4 separate regions of the Mus musculus genome follow, and all the other regions are reported to be linked to region 2. Evidence: microRNA targets listed by miRTarBase, many of them from high-throughput screens and not tested one by one. Region 2 holds a microRNA gene; each other region holds the end of a gene's coding sequence. Distances are from middle to middle.

Evidence for each region. The annotated mature microRNA mmu-miR-692 reads AUCUCUUUGAGCGCCUCACUC and lies in region 2 at 1,703-1,723, opposite strand. An mRNA with a match to its seed (bases 2 to 7 or 8) in the 3' UTR can be bound and repressed. Matches are read on the target gene's strand: a 7mer-m8 pairs with bases 2 to 8, a 7mer-A1 pairs with bases 2 to 7 and ends in A, and an 8mer does both.
Region 1: the mRNA of Cyria is a reported target of mmu-miR-692. Seed matches in the 3' UTR shown: 7mer-m8 at 3,343-3,349, 8mer at 5,569-5,576, 7mer-m8 at 6,344-6,350 and 8mer at 6,362-6,369.
Region 3: miRTarBase lists Pappa as a target of mmu-miR-692. Seed matches in the 3' UTR shown: 7mer-A1 at 3,228-3,234 and 7mer-m8 at 2,710-2,716.
Region 4: the mRNA of Adgrg2 is a reported target of mmu-miR-692. Seed matches in the 3' UTR shown: 7mer-m8 at 3,860-3,866.

The regions. Positions count from the first base shown.
Region 1 is chr12:12,370,230-12,378,753 of GRCm38, forward strand. It overlaps Cyria (CYFIP related Rac1 interactor A), which reads left to right. Exons shown (of 12, transcript NM_001146119.2): 12 at 2,518-8,524. The coding sequence ends at 2,581. It overlaps 4921511I17Rik (RIKEN cDNA 4921511I17 gene), which reads right to left. Exons shown (of 5, transcript NR_045829.1): 3 at 2,772-2,855. Among named protein-coding and RNA genes, the nearest start is that of 4921511I17Rik, 18 kb to the right of the region's middle.
Region 2 is chr4:125,503,528-125,506,527 of GRCm38, reverse strand. Mir692-2 (microRNA 692-2) reads right to left here and starts at 1,779; the gene lies at 1,671-1,779. The region is part of intron 1 of Grik3 (glutamate receptor, ionotropic, kainate 3); the gene reads right to left. It also overlaps the pseudogene Ftl2-ps.
Region 3 is chr4:65,351,472-65,359,740 of GRCm38, reverse strand. It overlaps Pappa (pregnancy-associated plasma protein A), which reads right to left. Exons shown (of 22, transcript NM_021362.1): 22 at 2,232-8,123. The coding sequence ends at 8,016. Among named protein-coding and RNA genes, the nearest start is that of Pappa, 230 kb to the right of the region's middle.
Region 4 is chrX:160,492,982-160,501,505 of GRCm38, forward strand. It overlaps Adgrg2 (adhesion G protein-coupled receptor G2), which reads left to right. Exons shown (of 28, transcript NM_178712.4): 28 at 3,324-5,095. The coding sequence ends at 3,508. Gm15241 (a long non-coding RNA gene) reads right to left here and starts at 6,837. Exons shown (of 4, transcript XR_387097.4): 1 at 6,804-6,837; 2 at 6,220-6,307; 3 at 1,557-1,584.

The sequences.
Region 1 (8,524 bases), not on the chromosome of region 2:
TCTGTAGTCCTGGATGACCTTGAACTCATGGATCTGCCTGTCTCTGCCTCCTGAGTATTTGAATTAAAAGCCTGAGCCACCATATGTTCAAATAACTTTTCAATGTCATAACAGTAACGGGCCAAGTTACCTATACTTGGATCTGAGTGGACCCACGGATCTCAGACTTGACTTGGCCAAGATACTCTGGTAGCAGAGGAGTCTTCTGAGAAGGAAAGCATCCATTTCTCATGTCTGCCTTCACCCAGGGCTCCCAACCCTTGCTTCGTGGGTTGATACATAGGCACTGAGGTTGGAGGTCAAGTAAATTAAATCACTGGATCACTGGCCTGGAAGCTCAACTCAGGCACCTCTGGTGTGTGTGTGTGTCTGTGTGTGTGTGTGTCTGTGTGTCTCTGTGTGTGTGTGTCTCTGTGTGTGTGTGTGTCTCTGTGTGTGTGTGTCTCTCTGTGTGTGTGTCTCTGTGTGTGTGTGTCTGTGTGTGTGTGTGTCTGTGTGTCTGTGTGTGTGTGTCTCTGTGTGTGTGTGTGTCTCTGTGTATGTGTGTCTGTGTGTGTGTCTCTGTGTGTGTGTCTGTGTGTGTGTCTCTGTGTATGTGTGTCTCTGTGTGTGTGTGTCTCTGTGTGTATGTCTGTGTGTGTGTGTGTCTCTGTGTGTGTGTGTCTGTGTATATGTGTGTCTCTGTGTGTGTGTCTGTGTGTGTGTGTTATTGTCTGTGTGTGTGTGTGTCTCTGTGTGTGTCTGTGTGTGTGTGTCTCTGTGTGTGTGTGTCTCTGTGTGTGTGTGTCTCTGTGTGTGTGTGTCTGTGTGTGTGTGTCTCTGTGTGTGTGTGTGTCCGTGTGTGTGTGTGTCTGTGTGTGTGTGTCTCTGTGTGTGTGTGTCTCTGTGTGTGTGTCTGTGTGTGTGTGTCTGTGTGTGTGTGTGTGTGTCTCTGTGTGTGTGTGTGTGTCTCTGTGTGTGTGTGTGCCTGTGTCTGTGTGTGTGTATGTGTTTTCCTGGCTCCCCAAGGAGCTCCCACATACAACTCTCAGAACTGAGAACCTGAGATCCTGTTATTCACTGCTGGATGCCTGAACTTATTTCCACTCCTTAGGCACTATTCCCTTTTCCCAAGGATACATTTGCTTAATCCACTTCAAGAAAGAGGTTGTTATTTTTAGCTATGCTGCATCCTAAGGAATTTGCTGAACCGCACAAATCATCCTGCAGAATCTCAATCAGGAAGGCTTATGGACCCTGATGTCTTAGCCGTTCGTTCCCCTCAGTTCCAGATGATGTAAGAAATGCCTGCAGTAAACTTGGGTAAATCTAAGAGAAAGGAGGAGGCACTCATTTCTGCATGCAGTGTTCCACCTCTAGTCACAGCACATGGGACCACTGCAACCCTTAGAACCATGGCTGACCTATTGTCCTCCCTCAACAGACGAAGAAATCAGCAGTCTCAAGACACCGAAGCTGCTATTTTTCTGAGTTGCCAATTCATCATCTTTGAGAATATGTGTGTCTTATGAGCCTCCTAAATCCTAGGTTTTCTCCAAAGGAGACTGCAAGCAAGCTAGGCTGGCTTTTAATATTCATTAAGAAGTCTTTAACTTCTGAACTTCGGAAACTTTTCAGTTTCAATCTAGCTGCCAAAACGTCCTGAAGATCAGGGCATTGTGTCAAGCCACTAGTCCCAGCCCAGTGTGGGAATTTGTATTTCCTGGAGATCTGTGATGAACTGGGAAGAGTGTAGGCTTTTGAGGCAGCAGACGTAGACTCAAGTCAAAAGTCACAGACTGTTCACAAATCAAACCCATCTGCTCTGAGATTCAGAGTGAGCCACTGACTCACCTGTGAAATCAAGTCACTTACCTCATTTAAAGAGACATTTGTGACTGGAATAGGACCTTTGACGTATCATGTGGTCAAAGCTTTATTACAGGGTTTTGTCTTTTTTTTTTTTTTTTTTTTAGCATTCCTTTGCACATGAGATTGAGTAATGAATAAGATGCTTTAGATTGCACTTTTGTTTGTGTACCTCACTTGTGGCCCCTAGCAGCAGTGGAGGATGTACAGCTCCTACAGTAGATAGACAGCAACATCTAAATTTCTGGATGCCATAATTGCTCAGCCTCGAAGAACAAGATGCTGAACTAAGCGCTGTGAACTTTATCTCTGAGAAAATGAGATCAGTTTGTCCCCTTTGCGTAGTCATCTAATGAGATTTTTAAAAAAATGATTTTAATAATCATCACACAAGCTCATTAGAAGCTTAGCATTGTGGTGTATGCCTTTGATCTCAGCAATAGGGAGGCTGAGACAGGAGGATTTCCCTGAGTTTAAGGCCATCATGGGTTACAGAGAGTCAATCTGGAGCATAGAGTAAAACCAATCTAAGTCAAATAAAAACTTGCAGAAAGTATATAGAATGAGAACCAACCTATGGGTCCTTCTCTAAGGAAACGAGCACGCACTGTTGGATTTACAAATTTCAAATGGGCAAGCCCTGACATGAAACTCTCTTTCCCCATTCAGGTTCACCACAAAGCACTTGAATGATGAATCGACTTCCAAACAGATTCGAGCGATGCTTCAGTAGAGGCCTGCTCAGAGAGGAGGATCTATGCTGACCTCAGAAGATGTAGATGTTTACATAATTTAATACAGATTGATGTTAATACTTGTGTATTTACATAACCATTTCCTTCTTGTCACTGAAATATATGGACCTGAATTTGTATCCTGACTGATTCAACCCAGCCGAGCATAAATTGACTTGAGCGCCTTACCTTTGATGTCTGAAGCGAAACTCCTTTCACCAAGGGCCAGATTCGGAAACTTCAACCTTGGCTGCTGGAGTCCTGTAGTGATACCTGTAACAATCAGAAATTCTTAATCGCTTGTGGTATGGTTTTAATTCTAGATGTTTTATCTCTCTGGGAGTATAGTTTATAGAAACACAAAGTACTTGATTTCCTGTGTCGGCTCAGATACAAGAAACACACACAACTGTTACCCTGACAGAGAACAGAGAGAGAAGATCCAAGATAAGAAAACTGCATGTGGAGAGCGGCGCACAAGAGTTCTGAGTTCAGCACGTCCCCCACCCTCTTCCTGCCGCCTGCAAACCTCACGTGCAGCTTTTCTATATGCACGTGTTTTATTAATCTGAATATTCTCCTTCTGTCTCGGTTTGTGTCCCTTTCATTCCCTTTTAGTATTTGCAAGAGGAAAATTGTCTGTGTTTTAATCAGCTAATGAGGAGGCTATGGGATGGACAGAGGGCTTCTTGCAGGAGAATTGAGAAAAGTGACTATCTTAAGAATATTATTTCTTTTTTTAAAAAAGAATATTAGAGAGAAAGAGAGAGAGAGAGAGTTGGCATAAGGACAGTCTTATCTGTGTCAACCCTCTGCCTGCAGGGACAGATAAATGGAACTCTGGTTGTGATATCATAACTAAGATCAGTCACCTCCCAGGAGTCTGCAGAGTTCTAGGTACACCACCCGTCTTAATATGGGAGCTCCCATTCTGTATCAAAATGGACTGTTCATATCAGAGCTGAGAACTAAAGCACTTCGTTCATTATCAGAAAACTGGAGGAATTTAGAGAGAGGAAATCTACGATTTCTAATTACCTGGAGTCAGCCCCCACTAGTCTGAGTACTTCGGCAAATTCACTTTTTGTCTCACCTTCATCATATGGCTCAGTGGTTAAGAGTACCTGTTGCTGTTGCAGAGGACCTGGATTGGATTCCCAGCACCCACTCAGTGGCCCACAACTATCCAATACTCCCGATGCATGGGATCCAGTGCCCTCTTCTGATCTCTATGGGCATCAGGCATGCACACAGTACACTTATATACATGCAGAAAAAAATACTGAGACACATGAAATAAGATAAATCTTTTTTTTAAATCTAAAATGGAAGGCTACTAGGAGCCACTACACTAACCTTTCTTCATGCATAAATCCAATGAGTACTACCCCACCCATCTTGATGAATATCAATATCTTCAGGACTGCAATCATTCTGCCTATAGGTCAGAACTGAGCTAGGATGGAATCTTGAAACATATTCTGACCTCCAATGAAAAGATATGGGCATACAAGGTGAGTTGTACGTAGAACTAAATCCTTGAGTGTTTCCCACCTGACTCTACTATACTCTTCCTGATCACCATGTGGCCTAAGAATATATACTATGGAGTCTATGGACCACTGTAGAGAAGTTTTTAGTCTAGCCTGTTTGATTACTTGTAAATCTCTGCTAGAAGGAGAGAATTTTCCAGACAACTGAATGAATGATAATCCTGGAAGTCAGGTCTAGGATGATTAGGGTGTGGTATTATTTGGTTTGCAACATCCCAAGGCAATACTTCCAGACTAAGGTGGCCATCCAGCATTCCTTTGAGTCCTCCAAGAAAGATGATACTTGGTTCATTTCAAAAAACCAAATGCAGACAAATGGGAGAACCAGTTCCCCAGCTTATGTTAGCATAGTCAACAGCGAGCATAAAGACTTTGTCACTTGGAGCGTTACCAGCAGAGTAAATGTGGCCATTGACTGGCCTAAGCATTCTCTAAGAGTTGTGCTAGATGGCTTCCATGATCTTGTCAAACCTAGAAATTCCAAAATCTCGAGGAAGCTAGAAAACACAATCCTGTGGCAGTAAGACATTCTCCAGTGTTCAGCTTTAGGGATTTTCTATTTGGCAGCCATAGGCAATGCTTATTTGGGCAACTCTCACGCCTACAAGAGCAGAGATGCACAATAAGCATTTGTCCATTTGCTCTTTCCTCAACAGAGGAGATTAGGATTTCAAAGAACAAAGAACTGCCCAGTTTCTATTGGGCTCTTAGACACAGACCTGAGCCATGAACCCAAGCCACGTATCTACACCATAGCTGCCTCTCAGCTGGCTACATAAGGAAACATTAGGGATTAACTGTCAGAATATACATACATACATACATACATACATACATAAATAAATAAATAAATAAATAAATAATAGCTTAGGACATTTGTAACTCTTAGTTAGACTTTCTATTAAATGGGACCAAATGTGTGTATGGGTGCTGTCAGTCTGCTTCAGTCTAGCCAGTCCAGTATCTCCAAGATGAGACTCAACAGGACTTGGATTTTGAGAAGCCCAGGCTCTAAATAATAGCCTCAGGTCATCAGGGGGACAGACTGAGTGTCTGTGATCACTAACAGGGAGTGGGCCTTGAGTCCACTCCAGAACTGTGGTGGGAGACCAATACTCTTAACAGACTGTCCAGTAGGTATCGGGAATCCTTGAACAATTTGGGTTTTCTTCCCCTTTTTTCTCTTTCGTGCTGCATGCACATTTATCCAACACTCACGGGTTGTTTGGGAAAAAGTACCAGCAATGATGTCGATGTTAATAATACTTCATAATTGATATCTTATAGCTTTCAAGTAAAGTGTTTTCTATAACTCAGATAATTAATTTGAAGCAAGAAAGAAGGTAAAAATGAGGTTTCCCAGCCATGTTGCTGCTTTTGGCATGGTCGCTTCTCTGAGGTTCACCTAGGCTTTCACAGCAAAAGTTGGGTGGAAAGAGAAATTTTTATTTGTGATGACACAATAGAGCCAGAATATTAGCTAACAACGTTGAAGGAGGTGTTGGGTGTTTTTAAATATTTAGTTAATATATTCCTCATGGACATAAAATACATTCTTAGTTATTATCATTATGTCAAACAAGAATGGCAAGCCTAAGTTTGTGAGGCATCATCACAATTCTGTCAAAATAATGTTATGCTTTTGAAAGATAAAGCCTGCTCAATCTAGGGATCCAGTTGTGCAGTAGAGTTCAGACTTCTCATCCAATCTTATATTGTAGGCATTTCTCAAGTGTTTTAGATATTAATAACTAACATTGGGATTTTACTTTGCCAGCCCCAGCCTTCAGAACTCCATTGTCATAGTACACCTGTAAAAATGGTTGCACATCAGAAGGGGCTTTGAAGCGCTTGTATGTTGTTTGCCGGAGTCATTGTAATTTTTTTGTTTGTTTTTTTGGGCTTTTTGTTTGTTTGTTTTTGCCTGCATTGCCTCTTTTTGTACAGAACTTTTGAGTGTGAAATGAAAATTAAAGTTTGGTACATACACAGTTTAAAATCATGTTTGTATATGATGCATAGGCAAAATGGATGGCCCTGCATGGAAGTCTGCTCAACTTGCTGTGAGGAAATGACGTCATATCAGCTGATCTTCCATCATAGTTTCTTCAAATATGGAATGTAATTCCCCAAGGGGCCTGCTTTTAGAATCACTGGTCTCACATTTATTTCAACAAGGACCTTAATTATATTAAAATTAAAATAAAGAAAGAGAGAGAAGGAGAGAAAGAGAATCAAGACTAATACTTAGAGATGTAAGAGAGCTGCTTGTCCAGGCATGCTAAGAAACTCCAGGAATGCTCTTTCACTCATTTTAATGCAGTAGCATTTTGTGAATTTGGCAAAATGGGTGAAAGAAGGAAACCCTCCCCTGTGTAAGTTCATTTCTTTCAGACAACAGAAGCATTAAAATGGTTCTTTTAACTCTTCAGCACTGACACTTTCCAGAGTGCCACTTTTATTACTCTCTAAACTTCTGAAGCCAGAGACCTAATTGTATGTTTTCTCAATGAATTTGAATCTCCAAGAGCGACCTTCTATAACAGCCAGTGAAAAGGTTGACTTGGGGTATGAAAGGAATGGGAATGAGGTCTTTTCTGTAAATTGACAAATGGTTGAATTATAAGTGGGTGGCCAGGCAGTAGTGGAGCACGCCTTTAATCCCAGCACTTGGGAGACAGAGGCAGGCAGATTTCTGAGTTCGAGGCCAACCTGGTCTATAGAGTGAGTTCCAGGACACCCAGGACTACATAGAGAAACCCTGTCTGGAAAAAAAAATATGTATATATACATATACATACACACACACACACACACACACACACACACACACACACACGCATGGGAAAAGTCTGGTAAACAGGAAAGAAGATTTTGGAGTATATGAGTGTGTATATATGTGTCTGTCTGTCTGTACTTACAGGACCATGAGAACCATGGAGCAGGGAAGAAAGTATGTATGTGCCTGTCAAGATCGATACAGTTAAATAATGTTGGTGAATTTATTTGAACTGTATTCATTAGGTATATTGATTTCCATGCCCAAGTTGAAGTAGAAACTAGTAAAGGACCCACTCATCTGACCCATGTGGTAACTCATACAAAGTAAATAGAGGGTTGAATATTGCATTCACCACCCCCCACCCCCAGCTGACCTTCAGAATAGAGAGCTATTTTTTTCTGGTCACATTCAGCCTGGCAGGATTGTTTTTTTGTTTTTTTGTTTTTTGTTTTTTTTTCTGCTGTGTTTTCTCTTCCCTCCATCTGATTCCAAAGATCTAGAAATGCAGCAATTCATGGAAATAGGCTCCATAAAATGCTTCTGTAGACTGGCCTTTGAAATTATGCTATGTAGGATTCTAGATCAATCTCAGAATTTAATAGTGATTTTCTTAAGTGGACAGTTCTTAGAAATCCCTTAAAGTATTTTCTCATCAAACCTTGTGTTTCTGGAAGTCTCTCCTTCTCTACCTCTCTTTTCTGCTTAGTTTTAGGTCTTCTTTGCCTTCCCTGCAGTTGGTTTTGTTTCAAGATGAGGGACATATTTCATTGACCATTCTGTGGCTGCTAATGGTGTCATTGGTCTGATTTGAGAAACAAAGGGCTCTTTCTTGAAGTTCACTCTAAAATCAACATGAAAACACTTGGGGAAGCCATCAAACTACTCTCCTCCAAATAACAATACACTTGGAAGAAATGCCTTCCTTTTGCTTGAGAAAAGTCCTCTGAGAAGCATGGGGAAGAGGACATGGTTGATGGTTTTATAAGTAATCATAGATGCAGAGACACTTCATTCCCATAATGATGACATCAGGCGTACCATCTTTCCTTCCATGTGTTTGAAATTTGCAAGGCCAAGCCTTTCTTTTATTTCCTCCATGGATTTTTCCATGAATAACCTTCTCCAGTCCCTACAACATGCTAAAAATTCTCTTCTGAACTGTTACTGCATTTAACTTACTTTCTACTAGATCCATGCCAGTACACAGTGTTTGGAAATGTATCTTTTAATCACTGAGTCTTGAAATTCTGAGGACAAATAATGAGCCTCATTGGACAATAGAAGCTTTCTACTAATGTGAAACTCCAAGGCCCTGAAAACCAGGTGTGTTGAAGTTAATTTTTGAGAATTGGTTTACCCAACTTAGGATCCATTCACATACTCACATTACCTGCTCAGTTGGACAATCAATTTTATTTCTGGAAGAAATATTTACTAACTGTCAGGATATTTTAACCTCTCTGGACACAGAGAGGTTGCACCTTATGGCTCATTTGCAAAGAACCCAAATGGGAAAACAGACTGCTTTTGATTAAAAGTTGGAGCAGCTAGACCTGGCACTGGAGGTAGCCAGTACACTAAGCAGGTAGTGTCTTACTCCATTCAGA
Region 2 (3,000 bases):
CAGTAAAGTGTTTGTTGCTTAAGCATGAAGACCGGGAGTTCAGATGCCCAGCAGCTGCGTAAAAGCCAGGACGGCTACAAACATCTGCAGCTCCGTGCTGGGAGGTGGAGACAAGCAGCCCCAGGGTCAGACTGTCAGTCAAAATGGCATGCTCCAGGTTCAATGAGGAACACCATTTCAAAAACTAAATAGAGAAACTACCAAGGAGGACATCCAAGCACTCTTGCATAGGTCAGCGCTCTCTCTCTTATACACACACACACACACACACACACACACACACACACACACACACACTGCTAATTTCTTCCCTTCTAGAAAAGTTAGATAGGGAGGAGCTAGAGAAAGTATCCAAGGAGCTAAAAAGATCTGCAACCCAGTAGGTGCAACATTATGAACTAACCAGTACCCCAGAGCTCTTGACTCTAGCTGCATATGTATCAAAAAATGGCCTAGTCGGCCATCACTGGAAAGAGAGGCCCATTGGTCAGGCAAACTTTATATGCCTCAGTACAGGGGAACGCCAGGGCCAAAAAATGGGAATGGGTGGGTAGGGGAGTTGGGGGGAGGGTTTGGGGGGAGGGTGTGGGGGACTTTTGGGATAGCATTGGAAATGTAATTGAGGAAAATACGTAATAAAAAAAATTTAAAAAAAAAAAGAAAAGTTAGATAGAATTCTGTCCAAGGAAAGGGAAAAATGAATCCTGGAGGGAACTGGAGGGAGTTGGAGGGGGCTAGAGGAGGCTGGAGGGGGCTAGAAGGGACTGGAGGGGTCTGGAGGGAGCTGGAGGGGGTAGAGGGGGCTAGGGTATCTGGGGGGAGCTAGAGGGGTCTGGAGGGGGATAGAGGAGGTTGCAAGGGACTGGAGGGGACTGGAGGGGCTGGAGGGAGCTGGAGGAGGCTGGAGGGGGCTAGAGGAGGTTGCAGGGGGCTAGAGGGAGCTGGAGGGACTTGGATGGGGCTAGAGGAAGTTGGAGGGGGCTGGAGGGGGCTGGAGGGGTGGAGGATTGATGAGGCATAAGAATTCCTGGTAGAAAACAAACCGGAAGGGGCGGGGCAAGGAAAGCTGGGAGGGCAGAAGCAAAGAGGAGCTGAGAGAGATGGGCTCCCCTCCCATGTCTGCAGTGTGACATGGAGCCCAGCTCTGAGCTGCCCTGAGCTTCCTTACTTCTCCCAGAATATAGAAAAACGAGGAAGCTCCAAGCACAGGGCTTTGATGTGGGCTGTACACACCTCAGTGTGAGAGACCATGTTGTCATCACTACCTGGATCTCCCATGATGCCCCTGAAATGCTCCAGAGCTCAGGCTCAGGACGCAGCTGCACCCCAGCCCTGCAGTCTGCGCTCTTCGACACAGAGTGGGCGTTCCACTAATGTTTGGTGAATCAATGAGTCAGCCCAGAGTCCATGTGAAAAGGACAGGAAATAAACACAAAATTACAAACAGCATAAAAATAGCCACATTTCCAAAGCAGGATTGGTTTTTTTTTCCTTCTGCTTTCTTTTTTTTTTTTTTTTTTTTTTTTGCTGTCTCAAAAAGCTTTATTTTTACTTGGTCCAAGACTTGACAGAGGCTCCAGGGCGGTTACAAAGCTGCCTAGTGGCTTGAGAGGTTCATTCAGGTGGAGGTCCCAGGGCGGGCTGGTGCAGAGCAGAGGGGGGAGCCCCTTGGAAGGCACAGAGGCCTCCTAGTCGTGCTTGAGAGTGAGGCGCTCAAAGAGATACTCGCCCAGAGATCCCTGGGGCGCGCCAGTCTGCGCTGGTTGTGGCCCTGCCACCCTGCGGAGGTTGGTCAGATGGTTGCCCATCTTCTTGATGAGTTTCACCTCCTTATCCAGGAAGTGGCTTTCCAGGAAGTCACAGAGATGAGGGTCGGCGCGGGCAGAGCCCAGGGCATGCAGATCCAAGAGGGCCTGATTCAGGTTCTTCTCCAGGGCCAAGGCAGCTTCCATGGCCTCCTGGGTTTTACCCCATTCATCTTGAGATGGCTTCTGCACATCCTGGAAGAGTGCACGGCCCCCGCGATCGTTCTGAAACTCGAGGAGACGCTCCGCGCCCTCGCGCTTCTCCTCGGCCAATTCGCGGAAGAAGTGGCCTACGCCCTCCAGAGCCACGTCATCCCGATCAAAAAAGAAGCCCAGAGAGAGGTAGGTGTAGGAGGCCCGCAGGTGCAAGTTGACCAGGCGGTTCACGGCAGCTTCCACCTCGGTGGAATAATTCTGACGAATCTGAGAGGTCATGGCTGATCCGGAGTAGGAGCTAACCGCGAAGAGACGGTGCAGACTGGTCCTAGGAGCCGAAGGCAGCGAGGAGATGGTCCCGGAGGCTGCGACTGGAGAGACTTGTAAAGGCGGCTGGAAGCGAGTACAGTGGGAATCCCCGGGTCTGTTCCGTTCAAACACTGTTGAAGCAAGACACAGATCCACGGGACCTCCAAGGCGCTGCTCTCCTTCTGCTTTCTTAAGGGAAGGGAAAAAAAAAACCCCAATCCCTTGATGCTGACATTTTTCAAGCCAGAGTCTCCAAAGCAGCCGTAACTGAGGCCGCCATGCACTCTCACAGCATGTTCTAGGTCTTTCTATCTGCTCTAGGGACCATCTTGCCTCTGACATTCCCAGAGCCTAAATGATAAGTCCTCTGTTATTCTGACATGTAGGGTCTTCTTTGTCTCTTTGGGTTCTAGTGCAAATGCTCCCAGCCAATTCTTGGTCCCCTGGTGATGGACAAATCCTCCACCTTTCTCACATCTTCTTGTCTAGGATTGGCCTCTGTGGTACCCAACCATCATCACCAGGCTTCTCTGACACATCCAGGTGATGATGCAGGGGCTCTTTGAGGGAATGCCGCAAAGCTGAGACATACTGGTTTCCCATCACCCGAATGAATAGTAATTTTATTTATTAGCAGAAAATAAGGTTCCATTACAGGTGTGCAGGGCTCCACAGCTCAGGAAACAATAAAACAGAAAACACGTTTAAGAAATCACATTTAGCAGGATAA
Region 3 (8,269 bases), 60 Mb from region 2:
AGAAGTCATTCTTAACTTTTTGTAAGCTAGAGCTTACAAAGAAGTTTTGTCTCTTCAGACAAAACTCTGCAGAATACTGAGCTATATCAACACCATAGAGTATAACCTTTTGACTTGGGAAATATTTGTTTCTACTTATGAAGTCATCCTATAAATTTTATTTTATAATTTTTTTCATAGTGAACTGGATATAACTGTAGAGCAGAAAATATGCCAGAGGAACCTTATCATTAAAAACTAGTTAAGGATCCTGGCATGATGGTGTACCTTTAATCACAGCAGAGGCAGTTTAATCTTAATGTTTAAGACCACTCTGCACAGAGAACACCTGTCTTGGAAAGAGACAAACAAACCTAGTTGTGGAGTAGAGGAGCATTTAGCAATGTTTCTTGTTGGTTGGTTTAGTGGCTTCCCTCGTGTTTCTTGATATATTGTATTTTAATGATTTCAAAAATACATTGTGGATAGACCTGATTTGCCTTATCATGATCTCAAAAATAATTCCAATGGATGTTCCTTCAAACAATTCTTTTTGTACAAAACTCAAGATCTTAAGCATCAGTATACAGAAACATACTTTGAGCTGACAGTCAACAGCTCAGTGTACAGTGCCACTGTTATTGAAATGCCTATGCAAGTATCATGACTTCAAGGTATATTGTTCTTATATAGCTGTCTCTTGTGAGACTAGGCTGGGGCCTAGCAAACACAGAAGTGGATGCTCACAGTCAACTATTGGATGGATCACAGGGCCCCCAATGGAGGAGCTAGAGAAAGTATCCAAGGAGCTAAAGAGATCTGCAACCCTGTAGGTGCAACATTATGAACTAACCAGTACCCCGGAGCTCTTGACTCTAGCTGCATATGTGTCAAAAAATGGCCTAGTTGGCCATCATTGGAAAGAGAGGCCCATTGGACAGGCAAACTTTATATGCCCCAGTACAGGGGAACGCCAGGGCCAAAAAATGGGAATGGGTGTGTAGGGGAGTGGGGTGGGGGGAGGGTGTGGGGGACTTTTGGGATAGCATTGGAAATGTAATTGAGGAAAATATGTTAAAAAAAAGATCAACAGTAAAATTAATTATGTTATTGGTATTTGTCATAAGCAGCTTTGGTCTCAACCTGACAAGAGCCAATGCAACCCATGTCCGATAATGTTCTCATTCACTGAAAAACTTATCTTCAAAAAAGAACTCAAGAATATTATGAAGTTGATATTTTATTTTCATTTCACAGATAGCAAAACAGAACCTTAAAACAATTTAATATCTTTCCAGAGACTGCATAGCTACTTACTAGCTGGGGGTGGATGAACAAGAAAATGGCCTAGATAGAGAGAAAGCAGCAATATTCAGTCTCAGTGGAGGCTCACACGATGGACTGGCTAGTTAAGTGTTCATACTTTTTAATTTATTATTTTTCACATAACATCATTTTGAAACTTTATACATATACATTGTGTGGTGATCCCATCCATGCCTCACTCTCTCTCCCCTCCCCGACTCTGCACGTGCCCTTCTTTCTTGTTAGTTTTCTCACTTGTTGTTGTTGTGGATATTGTTGGTCCTCACATTTATTTAATGAGGTTTGCTTCAATGAGCTTGGACAGAGGGTTAAGGAGCATGGGCCCCTTGCCAGTTCTTACAACACTGAAGAAAATGATATCCCTCTGTCCCTGTAACCATCAACTGCCAATAGCTCCTTAGGGCGAGAGGCATCCTAACGAGCCCCTCAATCCTGATCCAGGATGTAATCTTGAAGAACCCAAATAAGGATTTGTGTAGTATCAACCTCTGTAGTGAGCTCAGGATTACAATGACAGTGTGACATCCAGAACACAGGTTGTGTTCATTTTTGTTGTTTGGGTGTTTTTGTTATGAAAATAAAAATATTCTCAGAGTATATTGTTGAAGACAGAGTCCAAATAGCAGTATATAAGGACAAGGAGTATATATGTTAGTGTCATAGAATGGAAATATATTATAATGTATAATAATATTTGCCAGTTATTGCATGTACAAAATATAGATACTTTTCAGGAATTATATAGAGCACTTGATATATATTGAATTCAATTTCATGCTTTTTATTGAATTTTTTTATTATAAGCTCACGTTTCCTTTTAGGTTATTTCATGGGTATGTTTGCATGTGTGTGTGAGTGTGTTTGTGTGAGTACGCGCGTGACCATTCTATATGACTATAACAGTCAAAAACCACACAACAACATGCTGAAGCAGACAAGCTATTATATATTTTCATAATATAGAACTTTAAGGTATAGTAATCAACAGTGGCAAAATATTCGTCTTTGACATTATTTGTGTATATGTGTGTGTGTCAGATCTAACCTGTAATTGAGACCAGAGAAAACAGTATGGAAACACAAATCCATGAGAAGAGCATAAAAAATACCATGAACAGAAAAATATGTTTGAGTATTTTAAACCGTATAGAAAAAATAAATTAGATGAACCATCGTGTAAATATAAATTTAAAAAGATGACATTCTTAATAAATAAAGTTAACTATTTACATTTTTATATATTGCTGAAAGACTTAACTTAGATCCATAAAAACACATGAACAGGAAAAATAACCCAAAACAAGAGCAGCACATTTCTGCGCATGAGGTACAGGAAGAAGAACAGGGTTGTATTTAGTTTTTGCTGTTTACTTTACTTTAATCTTTCTTTTCTCTCTCTCTCTCTCTCTTTTGTTTCCTTCTTTCTTCCTTTCTTTCATTTTTTTAAAATTTTTGTTTGTTTGTTTTACAGTAGACCAGTAGATTTCTCATGAGAACAGATTCTAAGCACTTCAATGAAAAATCATATTTTTGATTGCTTCCAGAAGGTGCTAAACAGATTCTAACATCATAATAATTAGAAATACCCTCAATAATTATGACAGTAATAAAAAGGTATAATATGATACATAAATATGGAAGAGCAGTTTGTAATATGAATACATTTTCTCTAGACGAGATCACAGTTTTGTAAATATTACATTTAAGTATATATATACACACATATATGTACAGCTATATATACATGTGCATATATATGTAAATTTTTATTTATATATAATATCTTTATATAGATAGATATCTGCAGATAGGTTATTGATTATAGAGACCCAAGAAAGCAACTCAATAATTGTTCAAAGTTCTCCTCACTGGCTGCTGGTGTGAAGTTTAAGAAGCCCAACTTGCACTCAGAATGTTATCTCTTCTCTTAATGAACCAGATTATGTGGAAACTAAGTCTGAGAAGTGAGGATTCTACTGGAGAAGAGATGCCAGACCCTCTTACTCTGTAAATTGGAAACGTGCCCCCCAATATTAACTAGATGACAGTAGACTGACTTTTACACTGTAGGAAGCCATTGAATTTTGATTAAATCATTGAATTGGTAAAAGCTAGAATAACACAGGGGAAACTTATCTGAAGAGTAAATATTCCCCAGTACACTCATTAAGGTGGATTGTAACCCAGGCCTTCCAGCTTTGTGCCATGAAATGTTGATCAAGCACTCCCTGTCTCTGAAAAGGGCAATGAGCCTGTGCATTTTATGAAATAAAAGAAAGAAAGAAAGAAAGAAAGAAAGAAAGAAAGAAAGAAAGAAAGAAAGAAAGAAAGAAAGAAAGAACCCTATGACCTTTGCCTCAGGCTGTGTAGTGTCTTCTACAGATTGGACAGTCCGTTTAGTATCCTCAGGGCCTCATGACCCTCCCACTGTGAGGTAGGTAACTAGTTGTATCCCCATTTTTCAGCAAGAGAAACTGAGGCAAATATGGAGGCAATTTGATGACTTCTCCAAGATCACTGAGTAAATTGAAGGCTGGAGAAAAGCATTCTGGAGCTTTGTGCCACCTACATCAACTTCTATCTTGACCATTATTACATTGTTTTTACAGAGGAAATGATAGCTAGGAATTTAGAAAAACTTGAATGAATCACAAAAGGAGGTGTTTCAGAAAACTTGTTCTCTATTTAGTTGTTTGCTTGGTTTGTCTTCTTTCTCAGTATTCAACGGGGTCCCCTGCATGGTCATGAAGCAGCTTCTTAAGAACAGAGCTGTGCAGCGTGGTTCTGAGTGCCATACTGGCAAACAAAAATATCTTATAGTGTAAAAACGACAAAGAGACCCAGTTTCTTTCCTTAATATTTGGTAAAAATCAATATGAAACTCTCCTTCATCCCCTCTACCATGGACAGTCACTAAAGAAATGAACCAATGCTTAGCTAACAATAACTCAAGGGCAAAAATGCCTTACTTCCTGGACCTACCACAATGTTCAGCAAATGTTAGTCAATGCCATAGAATCCCACTCTAAGTCTTCTAGAGAAATCTCTATGTCATCTCTACCTACTCAGTTATAGAATAGTGTCCTCAAGGAAGCATAAAAATAGGGCTTATATTCTTAGGTTTTCACCATGCATTTCAGTCCCTTGTAATCACTTTGTCTCCTATTAATTTCAGTCTTTACAGCTTTGTCACCTTCAATTCCTTCTATTTATTTTCTCACTTGAAGTAGTTTCAGAAAAAAAGAAATCACACACACACACACACACACACATAAAGACACAGAGATACACACACACACACATACACACACTGAAACGGTTAACATGCTCTCCTTCCTGTTCTTTTCTTTTCTTTCGTGTCTTTTTCTATTTATTTCTTTTAAAAAAATCCACACAGGTAAGACCTTTAACAAATTGACAGTTACAACCAAGTTAAATCAAACCTGGAAGGGAGGTAGCTGAAATCTGTCCCAAAGAATTATTTTCAACAAATAGCATTTAAGCATTGGCCAATGTGGGAATGAGACAGAAAAGTCTCGGCAGAGGTCCAGTGTGCTAAGGCCAAGAGCAGCAGCTGATTCCCTCCTTCTGCAAAGGCCTGCTATTTAAGACTGTTAATCTCTCCTTTGCTTTACACCCCACCTCACCTACCCACACTGACTTCCCAAGGACTGACTGACTTCCCTCATGAGGCTGTTGGCACAAAATCTAGGGGGTAATGCAAGTCCTCCGGGCAGACAGTGTGTTGCGGTTTGGAACAGTTCCCCAGATGGGGCTCAGAGAACTGTCCATCTCCTCGTTGCTTCCTTGCTGCTAACAGACATACTGCTTCAGCTGCAGAACTCCCAAGTACTTTAGAGCCCCTTAAGCTGTGGATGTACAATAGTGCTTCAGACCCGCCTCCTCCTGATTATCCCATTGTCCAAAACAGATGACTGAGGAGATGAGACAAGGAGTTTATTCTCAGGAAGAAAATGAAACTGGGAATCAGTGCATTGAAAAAATACAGCTGACTGTCCTGCACTAAGGTCTGAGAAGACCTTATGAATTACACATCCCTTGTGGGCATGAGGCAGGCTACCAATTGGGTAGCCTCTTTTATCTATTAGGCTCAGCAAATATGAATTTGTTCATAACAGGCTTGAATGGCGGTGAGAAGAAAACTGGATGGGACTCTTCCTGGAAAGCTCCCCCCACCCGCCCCCATTTCAGCCTATGAATCTTAACAGAGGAGCCAGCCTCCGGGAATCTTTGCCCAGCTGGAAAGGATAAGAGCAGATGACAGTGACATCGACAACAGGGTTTGGATGAGGAATGACTGGGAGAAATTCTTGTGGTCTTTCTTAGTTTCTACAACTCTTCTATTGATAATGTCATCTTTGGGTCTTTGGAGGTTTCTGGATTACTTATCTGGAAGGATGGCCCTGTCACCACTCTTTTGCTTGTCCCTTCTAAGCTGACACAGCACATCAGAGCAAAAGAGGAATCTGAAGGCTTGACAAAAGTTTGAGGATCTTGGAGAGATGATCATAATTGGGCCAGCTACTAGAAAAAAAATTGTTCTTATATTTTGATAAAGATTGGTCCAAGAAATCCCAGGGGGAAATGCACTATGAGATATGCTTTTGGAGGAACCAAAGTGCTTGACCATTGTGTTAGTGGCCACTTCTCCACTCTAGACTTCAACCCCAGAAGCTAAAGGACAGGACAAGCTGCATAATATAAGCACTTATATCCATAATTGTGGGTACCAGTGCAAAACCATCTTGGTACATTTCCTGATATTATGGACCACAGATGGTCAATAGCTACCTTTTAAAATGTTCTTGATCAGTAGGAAAAAGCTATTGGTCATAATATGAAAACACAGTTGGCTAAGTTACTGTTGGTCCTAGTAGATAAAGGGATGTGATAGTTGAACAATTAATGCCTTAGATGCAGTGTGGCTTACACATGGGCTGGCATTTTGCATTCTGTTCCAGACTTTGTTTTATTGGTTGGTTATCTCCACTAGACTTGCGATCAGTTGATGTACTATTCATCTTTCTGTTATATAATTCATTTAGATCCTCCATATCATTGCTTCCCTGCCCCACCTTTCATAAATTATGTCAAAGTTAGCTATTCTATCCACATCATCCTGTGTTAACTCTTCCCATATTAATTCAGAGTATATACATAGGTATGAAAAGAGGCAGGAAAAAAGGCCCTGCATATATTGCTGGCTTCCATGTACAGTTGACTCATTTCCTCTTAACATTTAAAGACTAAATATGGGAGGGGAAGGAGTGATGTCCAACAATGAATGTGGAAAGATGTCCTAACATCTGAAAGATTATGTGGAAAATATGATGACTATGTTGGGTACTCAGTCTGGATCTCCAGGGCTTCCCTTCCATGTTCTTCTAGTATACAGTCGACATCGCCAATGTCCAAGATGTTTCACAACTCTATCTGCTTGGAGTAATAGTGGGAGTCTCAAGACCAAAGCTTCTTCTAGCCTAGAGAGCTAGGAAGACTGGGATAAGGACAATAACTTAAGTCCTTGCTATTCCAACAGTCTCTGGGTAGCTCCAGCATTTCCAAGTTTAACACTGTTCCACTTGATTAGAAAATCCAACACTGGATTAGATATTCTGGACTTTCCAGAAGGGCTCCAGCATCTGGCATCCCTCAACTCTTTCCCAGAATGAGAAGTCTACTCATGAAAGACTTAAGCCCATGAAGGATATTTTTTTCTTATAGATGGGCAAGAAGTGAGGAACTGTGGGAAAATATGAATCACTTTTGAGGCAGTCTACTTGGTTATATGGAGTTTGTTGTAACCTAGTTCTACCATCTTAGGGCACTCAATGTATTGGACAGAGCAGCAGGAAGAGTAGCAGCAAATGTGGTCCCAAGGTCAGATCTGGAAAATGGGTGGAATCTGGAAGGGGTATGAAGACCTCAAGCCTCAAGCAGGGAGCTGATAGAATACCTTAATTCTGCAGTCCTAAGCCATTTCCAGCTCAACCTTGCACCCTGGTGTTGGAACAAAACCCCCATGGCAGCAAAAAAATTGGGGAGCTTTGCACACCTTGGAATATTTACCATTTAGGAAGCCCTAGTTCCCTAGAAGGTTGGTGATTACAGCCATTTCACTTCCAGTCCCAAAGCACTACACAATATTCTGAGCCTTAGAATCTGAGATGTATTGGCTTTTCAGTACTTGGTCTTAATTTCTATAAACCACTTCTCCCAAAGACAGTGTTCCTTGGGAGCTTGGAAAATGAAAGATTGAATTTTTTGGATTTTGTTCTTTTTTTTTTTCCAGTTGTTTTCTGCCCTCACACAGACATTGGCATGGGTGTGCATGCATGCCTGTGTACTAACCACAGATGTGCATACTCCTTGATACACACACCGTTTTGTTGTTCTTTTGGGCTATGGTCATTTGAGAAATGGAAAGAATTTTTAGAGGCTCTGGGTCTACATGCCGTGTGTTCAATCCATCTTAGACTACAGGATAGTATTCCACTCCATCATTCAACATGGTGAGATTCAGTTCATTGCCCCACAGTTGGTCCTTCCTGGGTGAAATTAAAGGCAGACCGGTTGGGTGCTAAGGATCCCTGGTGTGGAGAGGCCATTTCATTGAGCAGCAGACTGTGAAATCAATACCAGAGGGATGCGGGTCCTGGCATTGGGAAATCTTTGACACCTGTCTTTCCTTAGCCATGGCTATATCCCCGAAGATCTTTCCGGTTGTGTTCTTGGGCCTCAGGGTCTCGACAGGCGCAGTCATTTTGTAGGTCACAGGACATAGGAAAGGGAGTGACCTGCAGAGATAAAAATCAAGAATGAATCAGATGCTTCGGTCTGATTTTCAGAGAGGTGATAAGAAGGAAAGGGGCAGTCACTAGATTTGAAAAATATATTCCAGTTCAATTCACAGTTCTACTTTTTGATAGCATTACAATAACCT
Region 4 (8,524 bases), not on the chromosome of region 2:
ACCTAAAAAAGGTTTTCTTGGATTCAAATCCTAATTTAAATATTGCCCAAAGGTTTCAGTACTGCACTGTTTTGGTAAAAGCAGTACCTAAATTACTAAGCAATATGTTTTTTTTAAAAATCATATCTATTAGCCATGTATATCTTTAGCACTTTGAAACCTTCCTGTTTTTTTCTCTTTTCATGTTTGTTAACCCTTTCCCACAATGTGGCTGCCTTGTGACAGCACCCAGGTTCCCATGAATGTATCAAAGGCTGGAAGATGGATTGTGAGCAATATTGGCCACTATCTGTGTCACTCATACATGAACAGATGACTGCAGCTGTGCTTCTTTTACTCATTAAGTCTAGAATTTCCAGCTAAAACTTCATTACATTTCCTTTCTCTCCAAGACTGGGCTGTTCGTTACTCATAAAGCTTATCTTACTTACTTTTGCCTCCTTCTGCTTCTTAATATACCTTTTGCATTTTAAAAAATGTGTGTGATTGGCCAGTACATTTCTCCTTCCAAAGAACAGTTGGCCTTTATCCATTATTTTAAGATTTTAGTCCTTTCCATTACTAATCAGATCAGTTTGTGAGAAGGTTCAGGTCTCAACCAAATAGTTTTTTAGTCTCATAAAGTTGAGGGCTTCTGATAGTTTGAGTTTAAAGAATACAATTGGGGGTTGGCTGGGGAGATGGCTCAGGGGGTACTACACAAGGGTAAGGACCAGATCTCTTGAACACACTTAAAAGCCTGATGCACCGTGTGGTGACCCTGCTGTAATACTAGCACACAAGAGGCAGGAGGAGATGGGAAACAGCCAAGCAGACTGGCTGGCTAGCCAGGTCAACCAAACTGGTGAGCTCCAGATTCAGTGAGAAATCCTGCTTCGATACAGAGAGTGCAGAGTAACCCAGGAAGACACTCTCCAAACTCAGGCTTCCGCATGTGTGCACAGGAACACTGCAAGTGCGTTCCTGCACTCACATGAGCTTATAAACATGCCAGCCTGCACATACCACATACAAGATTTTACACAAAGAAGATATATAACAGGAGTCCTTGACATCCAGACCTTTCGATCTCGGACACAGGTGACATATGGAGTTAGATAACTATTTTTAGAGAATTGCAAAGTGTTGAATAGCATCCTTAGCTTCTCTACCAAGTAAAACCAGCAGTGTCCTGCCCCAATTTGCAGCAAGCAAAAATGCCCCTAGACAATGTCCTCTATGGGAACAGGTAATAAATTTCTTCTTCTTTGCAAACTAGTGCTATAAAAGATAAGAAGCTGCAGTCTGGTGCTGGAGAGATGGCTCATTGGTTAAGAGCACTGACCATCCTTCCAGAGGAACTAGAATCAAATCCAAGCACCCACTTAGCTCATAAATGTCTGTAACCCCAAGATCTGACACCCTCATACAGACATATACACATTCGGGCAAAATACTGATGCATATAAAATGAAAAATTAATTAATTAACATTTTTTAAAAAAAATTGCTGCCATATGGCCTTATATCCTCACTGTCAATACCAAGATTAAAGTTCTGGGCACTATGCCAACTTACCATATGAGGAATGATTCATTGTAGGTCCCTGGAATAAAGACAAGGAGATCAAGGCTGGTTACTAAGAGTGAGAGAGCAAGTTGAAAGGCATGTGATTAAAGGATTGAACTGAATCATCCAGAAGCCTTAGACTCGTGTGTGTGTGTGTGTGTGTGTGTGTGTGTGTGTGTGTGTGCGTGTGTGTGTGTGTGTATGTGTGTGTGAGTGTGTGTGTGTGTGTGTGTGTGTGTGTCGAGGGGCTCTTGATCCATAACTAGGGTTTTTAATCTTCTGAAAAGGGTTTGGAGGTGATGCTTCACCTGCCTAGCATTACCCAAAAAAAATGTCAATCTTTGGGGAATCATTTTGTAGAAGCAGGTCCATTTTGGCACCGCTGTTTGACACAGCTAGTTTTGATATCTGACAGTAAGTAAGGGGCACATTGCAGTCAACAAAATGGCTAAGTGTTTCAAAAAAGAAAAAAAAAAGATAATGTGTCTGTCAGATGAACATCTCTGACATGTCAGCCTCCACCCCAGATGAGGAATGGCACTGAGAATTTCAAAAACGAAACTGGCAGCTGAGTGTTTTATTATACTGGGACAAATTGTTCCCACAACCAAACGTCCTCAAACCAAAGTGCCTAAGTCAGAACAGCTGCCTCAGACAGGCTCACGCCCTGTTTGAGCTGCGGCACAGATGGAGTTGCGTTAGCCACTTCTACTGCCTCTTTTGTATAAATGTGACACATATTTCAGTTCCTAGCTGCCTTACAGCCATGAAACTTTAGTACACAGGGCCACGAGCTAACACTTTGGAAGCACCCTCAAGTGTTCCATCCATCACTTTTGAGCTATAGAAGTTTAGGCAGATCATTTAATTTCTACCTTTGTCTTAACATCTGTGAAATGGGATCATAAAAAGCACCTGTCCCTTAGCATTAACTAAGTATATATATATATATATATATATATATATATATATAGTGAGACTATACATGATGTGCTCAGTGCTGTTTTCATCTTTATTATGATTGTATCATGACATAACCAATAGGCTATTATTCAGCTTTGTACATGGCCTTTCAAAGCTATAATGATCGAAAAGATGGTGCTAAGTAGCTAAAAGCTAATAGATGCTATGTCCTGAAGTTCTGAGGCTGCTAATGATAGGGAGGCCTAGGTCTAAATCACAGGTACCACTGAGTACCCTGCTGTCCCCCTCTTAGGCTGGAATCAATGGCTTCCTCATGGGAAGCTGTGCTATTGGGATTGTGAGAACACAGATTTAGAAATGGCTATAGAGAGATGATTTCATCTTCCCAGGACTGTAGCTGGTTGCTTTGAGCTTATCTTCTAATACAAAATTTCATTTCATAGGAATCATAGGGAATAAGGAGCCTATGTGGGTCCCTACAGGATCTCTGCTAATCTTAAATAATATTGTAGGTTATCTTATACACAGTTTAATTCACTGTGTTCAATTGGAGTTAGGAAATGGGACCTTGAAAATAAAAAAATAGCTTGCTTCGCTCTCCATTTTGACTGTTTCAGTTTTTTAAAACTGTCAACAGGAATTTTGTTTCTGATCATCCTCCAACTTGCTGTGCTTACCATCACGGACCTTAGGGAAGGAATAAAAATAAAATATGAAAACATAGGATGGGTACTTTTAAAAGATTCATTTCTGGCATGCCTATTCAACATTAATGTAAAGATGCTACTTGCTTGGTCTTGAGTACTTTCTGTGGCTACTTCATGAGACCAACTTTGATCTTCTCCTATCTAGGCAATGCATCTACCGAGAGGAATGGGGTTTCTTTCAGTGTTCAGAATGGAGACGTGTGCCTTCATGATCTCACTGGCAAACAGCATATGTTTAGTGACAAAGAGGACTCCTGCAATGGTAAAAGCCGGATAGCGCTCAGAAGGACTTCGAAGCGGGGAAGCTTACACTTTATCGAGCAAATGTGATTCTCTTCTTCTAAAATCAAAGCATGATGTGGATGGTGTGAAGTGTCCAGTTTTCCTTTAACACAATGTGAGATGTATGAAAAGCGCTGGTTTTCTATTCAGCAACCTCGAAAGGAACATAAGCTAAATGAGGGCAACCAGTTACTATCAGAAGAAACCACGACTGGTTATGGTTTCTAGACGTTTGCAGTTTGGTTTCTTATCTCTCATTTTCAAAGGCATTGGTGTTAAAACCACAGAATAAGATCCAGGAAAGAAAAATGAAAGTTTGTTTCCACTCACATTTTAAAGAGGCTGTTATCCTTGATAACATCCTAAGAAAGAAGGAAAAAAAGAAGGAAAGAAAGAAAGAAAGAGAGAGAGAGAGAGAGAAAGAAAAAAGAAAGAAAGATGTTTACTTCAGTCTGTTGGTAAGTTTAGTTGTGCATGCCTTTGTTGTATATAAGCTAAATTCTAGTGACCCACATGTCAAAAAATCTTCTCTTTACCTTTTTTTATATTTATTTTCTACTGTGTAAATTTATTCTTTTGTAGAATCATGGTTGTGTCGCCTTCTCTAATGTGATAACTTACCAGTGACTTCTAAACCTCCTTTAGAAGATCATATAGGATGTGAAATTCAGAAACTTCACTGAAATCAAGAAATAATGATAAAGGCAGTCTGAACAATTATAAATAGACAATTAGCTCAGAAAGTGCCTTTGAGCAATCAAGAAAAGGTGCCCCCACTGGGCAGATATAGCCTTGTGAGCTTATGGTTTGGAAAACAGTCGGGCCACATTTTAGCCCTGATGATCCTCCTGGGTACCTTATGCAGGGTCCTCATGAAGGGTCCTTATGCAGGGAATGACTTGTATGACTATATGTGACATGAAATAGTGATACCAATGGCCAGACTTCATCCCTAATGACCAGATTATAGAATCTCTACACCATGGTTGTTAGAGGCTAAAACTGTAATCTAAACCATGTTAGGAAAATCGTGATGGTAGAAAAGATACACACTGCCACTTCTCAAATACCCAGAGCCTTTCAAAAGAGGGGATCAGAGTAGGATTACTTTTCCAGAGTGTATATATGGCAAACAAAGTAGGTCTTTAAAAGACGCTGCATGATATGTTATTGTTGCAACTGCTACATTCTGGTCCAGTCATACTTGTATGTATTTTTAAAAACATGTCAAATCTTGAAGAGTGTATAGTGACAAGGGGGAGCAGCTACTGGGAAGAGTGAATTATCCTGTGATATTGTTGTTTGTATGTAATAACATATATCCAACCTTGATTGTTCCTAGTTCTAGAGGGCCTATCCTATTTCTCACCTTTACCAGCTTGAGTGGTGCCTCAAGCAGTGTGATTATTAGGAACATTTCAAAATCCTTTAGTTAGGTCTTTCACTAAGGCTCCCTTGCATATATTTCAAATAAATGTTGTATCTGAGACTAGCCACAGTAGTAACATCTGTTTCTGTGTGTGCTCATTGTCTTTGCAAAATTCTTCTCCAAATTATTTAATTATTTTGTATTTATATGTTATGATTGACAAAACTGTTAAAAACCAATAAAAATCAATTTGCAGTTAAGTCCTTTAAGTTTGGTTTGCATTCTTTTTCTCCAACCCTACCCCCTGGCAGCGTGGCATGGAATGGTGGAACATACCCTCTGAAGATTTGGACTGTGGCATTAGAGAATGGCTTGTCCTGCTTCGTGACAGTGGTTTCCAAGGGCTATTGTCTATCTTATCTTACTCTTTCAAGAGATACTCTTTAACGTGTGTTGCCACTGACCTGTAGGAAATGTATGAAATGTTCAGACCCCATCCAAATGTCTGCTTCCTCAGTCTCCAGCAGTGGGTTTTCAGGAGAATGAAAACAAGATTCAAGAGGCTTTGTACATAATAATATATATCGAACTCTGATTGTTCCTAGTCCTAGAGGGTCTATATTGTTTCTCATGGTGTCTCAAGCATAGTATGTTTAATAGGAACATTTCAAAATCCTTTTGTTAGGTCCTAACTAAGTGCCATCTGCTAGTTAGCATTTGGAAGCCACAACTGGGGAAAGCAGCCTTCCCCCAGATGAGAACTGTCTGAGCAATCTTTCTTTCCCAGCGTCTCAGCTCCCACAAAGAAGCCATTGATTGGAAAGGTGATGAGACACTTTTGATTTGAGGGTGGGGGTAAGGGGGGAGGGATGAAACCTTGGAAATCAACCTCCCAAAGTAACGTACATACCAGAGTACACCTAAAAAGCACAGTCAAAAGTCCTTCAGTTCCCACCTTCCTTACCTTTTGTATTAGGGCCCTTGTCCGGTCCTTAAGCTAAATTCTCTTGGCTATTTGTTGGTTTGTAAATTCAGAGAAATAACATGACAAGACGGAGACAGAATGTTCCTGAGGAGTAACCTCCTCTGGTTTTAAAATTGGAGACTGTTTTAAGGAAGACAGAGGAGCTACTATTCTTCAGGAAATGTCGAAGCAGTGCCCGGCATCTGAAGTGTTTCCTCAATGCACTGGAGAAATTTCCCCCAGAATTCTCTAGAATCATTGAATCATAGGAACTTTGCTGCCTTTAATGAGCTGTGCCTTTAATGAAATGACGCAAACTGTTCCACTCGGTGAGCTGGCTTGTATCTAACAAGGTCACCTTGGAGGAAGGTGTGTTATTTGAAGGGTATTTCAATGGAGAGTTAATTTACTGAATGGCATACTCACCAAGCAGACTTGTTTGGTGTGACTTTTGTCTTCATAATAGCAAGAAAAGATGATTCAGTTTATCTCTATCTCATCTCCTCCTTGGGGTCTGAGGGACAGAAACCAGGAGAAGCTGAGTAAGTACAATAAAAACATACTATTGGGACCAGAGACATGTCTCAGAAGTTAAGAGAACTTGTTGCTCTTGCAGAGGACCTGGGTTTGGTTTCAGGACCCACATGGTAGCTCACAACCATCTATAACTCAAATTCCAGGGGATCTGACAGCCTCTTCTGACTTCCACAGGCACCAGACACGAACACAGTAGACATACATACATGCAGGCAAAATACTCATGTGCATAAAAAAGATTTTTTTTAAAAAAGGAACAAAATTGGGTCAAAAATTCTTAGGAATATATTCATTTATTTCTCACCTCAGTTTCCAGATATAACATCAAGAAATCAGAGCATATAAAATTTAAATATATATTCATATGGAATATTGTATTATTCAGGGTTTTACTGCTGTGAACAGACACCATGACCAAAGCAAATCTTATAAAAAAAAAAAAAACAAACAACATTTAATTGGGGTTGGCTTACAGGTTCAGAGGTTCAGTCCATTATTATCAAGGTGGGAGTGTGGCAGCATCCAGGCAGGCATGGCCCAGGCAGAGCTGAGAATTCTATGTCTTCATCCAAAGGCTGCTAGTGGAAGACTGACTTCCAGGCACCTAGGGTGAGAGTATTAAGCCCACACCCACAATGACACACCTACTCCAACCAGGTCACACCTATTTCAACAAGGCCACACCTCCAAATGGTGCCACCCCCTGGTCCAAGAATATACAAACTATCACAAATATATAGCCTTTAAAATAATATTTTATTAATTATTTGAGAATTCCATATAGTGTATTTTTATCATGTTTACCTAGATAGCTATATAGCCTTGTAACCCTGGCTGGCTTGCCTCAAATTCAGGACCTTCCTGATTCAGTATCCACAAAGATGGGATTACAAGTATCGCCATTCCTGGCTTTAAAATATATGCTTTTAAAATATATTTAATAGATACGTTCTTCACTATGAAGAAACCCTTATAGTCCCTGGTATGTCCTCTCCTTGACTCTCAATCTTATATAGCTGCAAGAAGTTGGAGCAGAGACAAATTTAACATTCTTTTACACTATGGTAATGGGAAAGTAAAATGATTCCAGGTCATCTAAACTAAATTATTACAGAAATAGTTTAATTTGGTTAACTGGTTAGTTTTTTCAAGTTGATTAAGAATGGACCCTCCCAATTCAGAGACAGGGTACTTTAGGTTCAAAAGACATGATATTTCCACTTTGCATGCTGTCCTCTAAGACAGAGTCTTAAGCTTCCAATGAGAACACAAGCCATCCTAAAAATAAGCAATGATGCCACCTTTTAAATACAGAAGAATATATGAAATCTCCAGGAAAGGTACATAGAAAGATTACTAAAGGGATTCAATTATGGTAATTGAATGCTTAATCTTACTCCCTAGGCCACAGCAACTCCTACATGGAAGTACATTGTGCACTGTTTCATAACTTCAGTGCCATTATTAAAACAAATAATGAGTTGAGAAAAGAATGGTAAGAAGATATGAGGGGAACTGCCCAATGTAAAACATATACATGCACCAAGGCTTGAAAAGAATGTTGAAAAGTACTCGAGCTGGGTGTGGTGGCACGTACTCAGAATCCCAACACTTTGGATGCCGAGGAAAGAAGTATTGCTGTGAGTTTGAGGAATAGTCTTGGATACATAATATAGTTGAGAGCAGCCTAGGCTACATGACAAGACTCTGTCTCAGAGAAAAAGTATGTGGGCTGATAGGGGTTGGGTGCTTTAGTTAAAGACTAACTATAAGGGGAGTCAAATAAGCAGGACTCATTTTCAGTCCATCAACATTGAGCCCTAGACACATGTACAATCAACTCTGTGCCAGGTGTGGTGGGAGATACCAAGCTATTTCATAAGCATCTCATAATCCAGTTAGAAAAGTATGCCTCAGTTAAAATGTAAACAATACACTATTTCCAAATGGTGCTGAAAATAGCTCTGGTTTAAGTGCCACTCTGAGTCAAGTATGTGCTACACGCACTTGACCTTGTCACATTACAAGGCATGAGGTTTACCCCAACAGATAAAAACAGTAAAAGTCAAACAACTGAAACAGTAACACAAATGTCTATATAAATCAGAAATGGAATAAAGTGCAGTTCGAACTGACTCGTTGCCCCATCTTTACTGAGGAAACTGCTATAGGAATCCAGAAAATTGGAAACGCT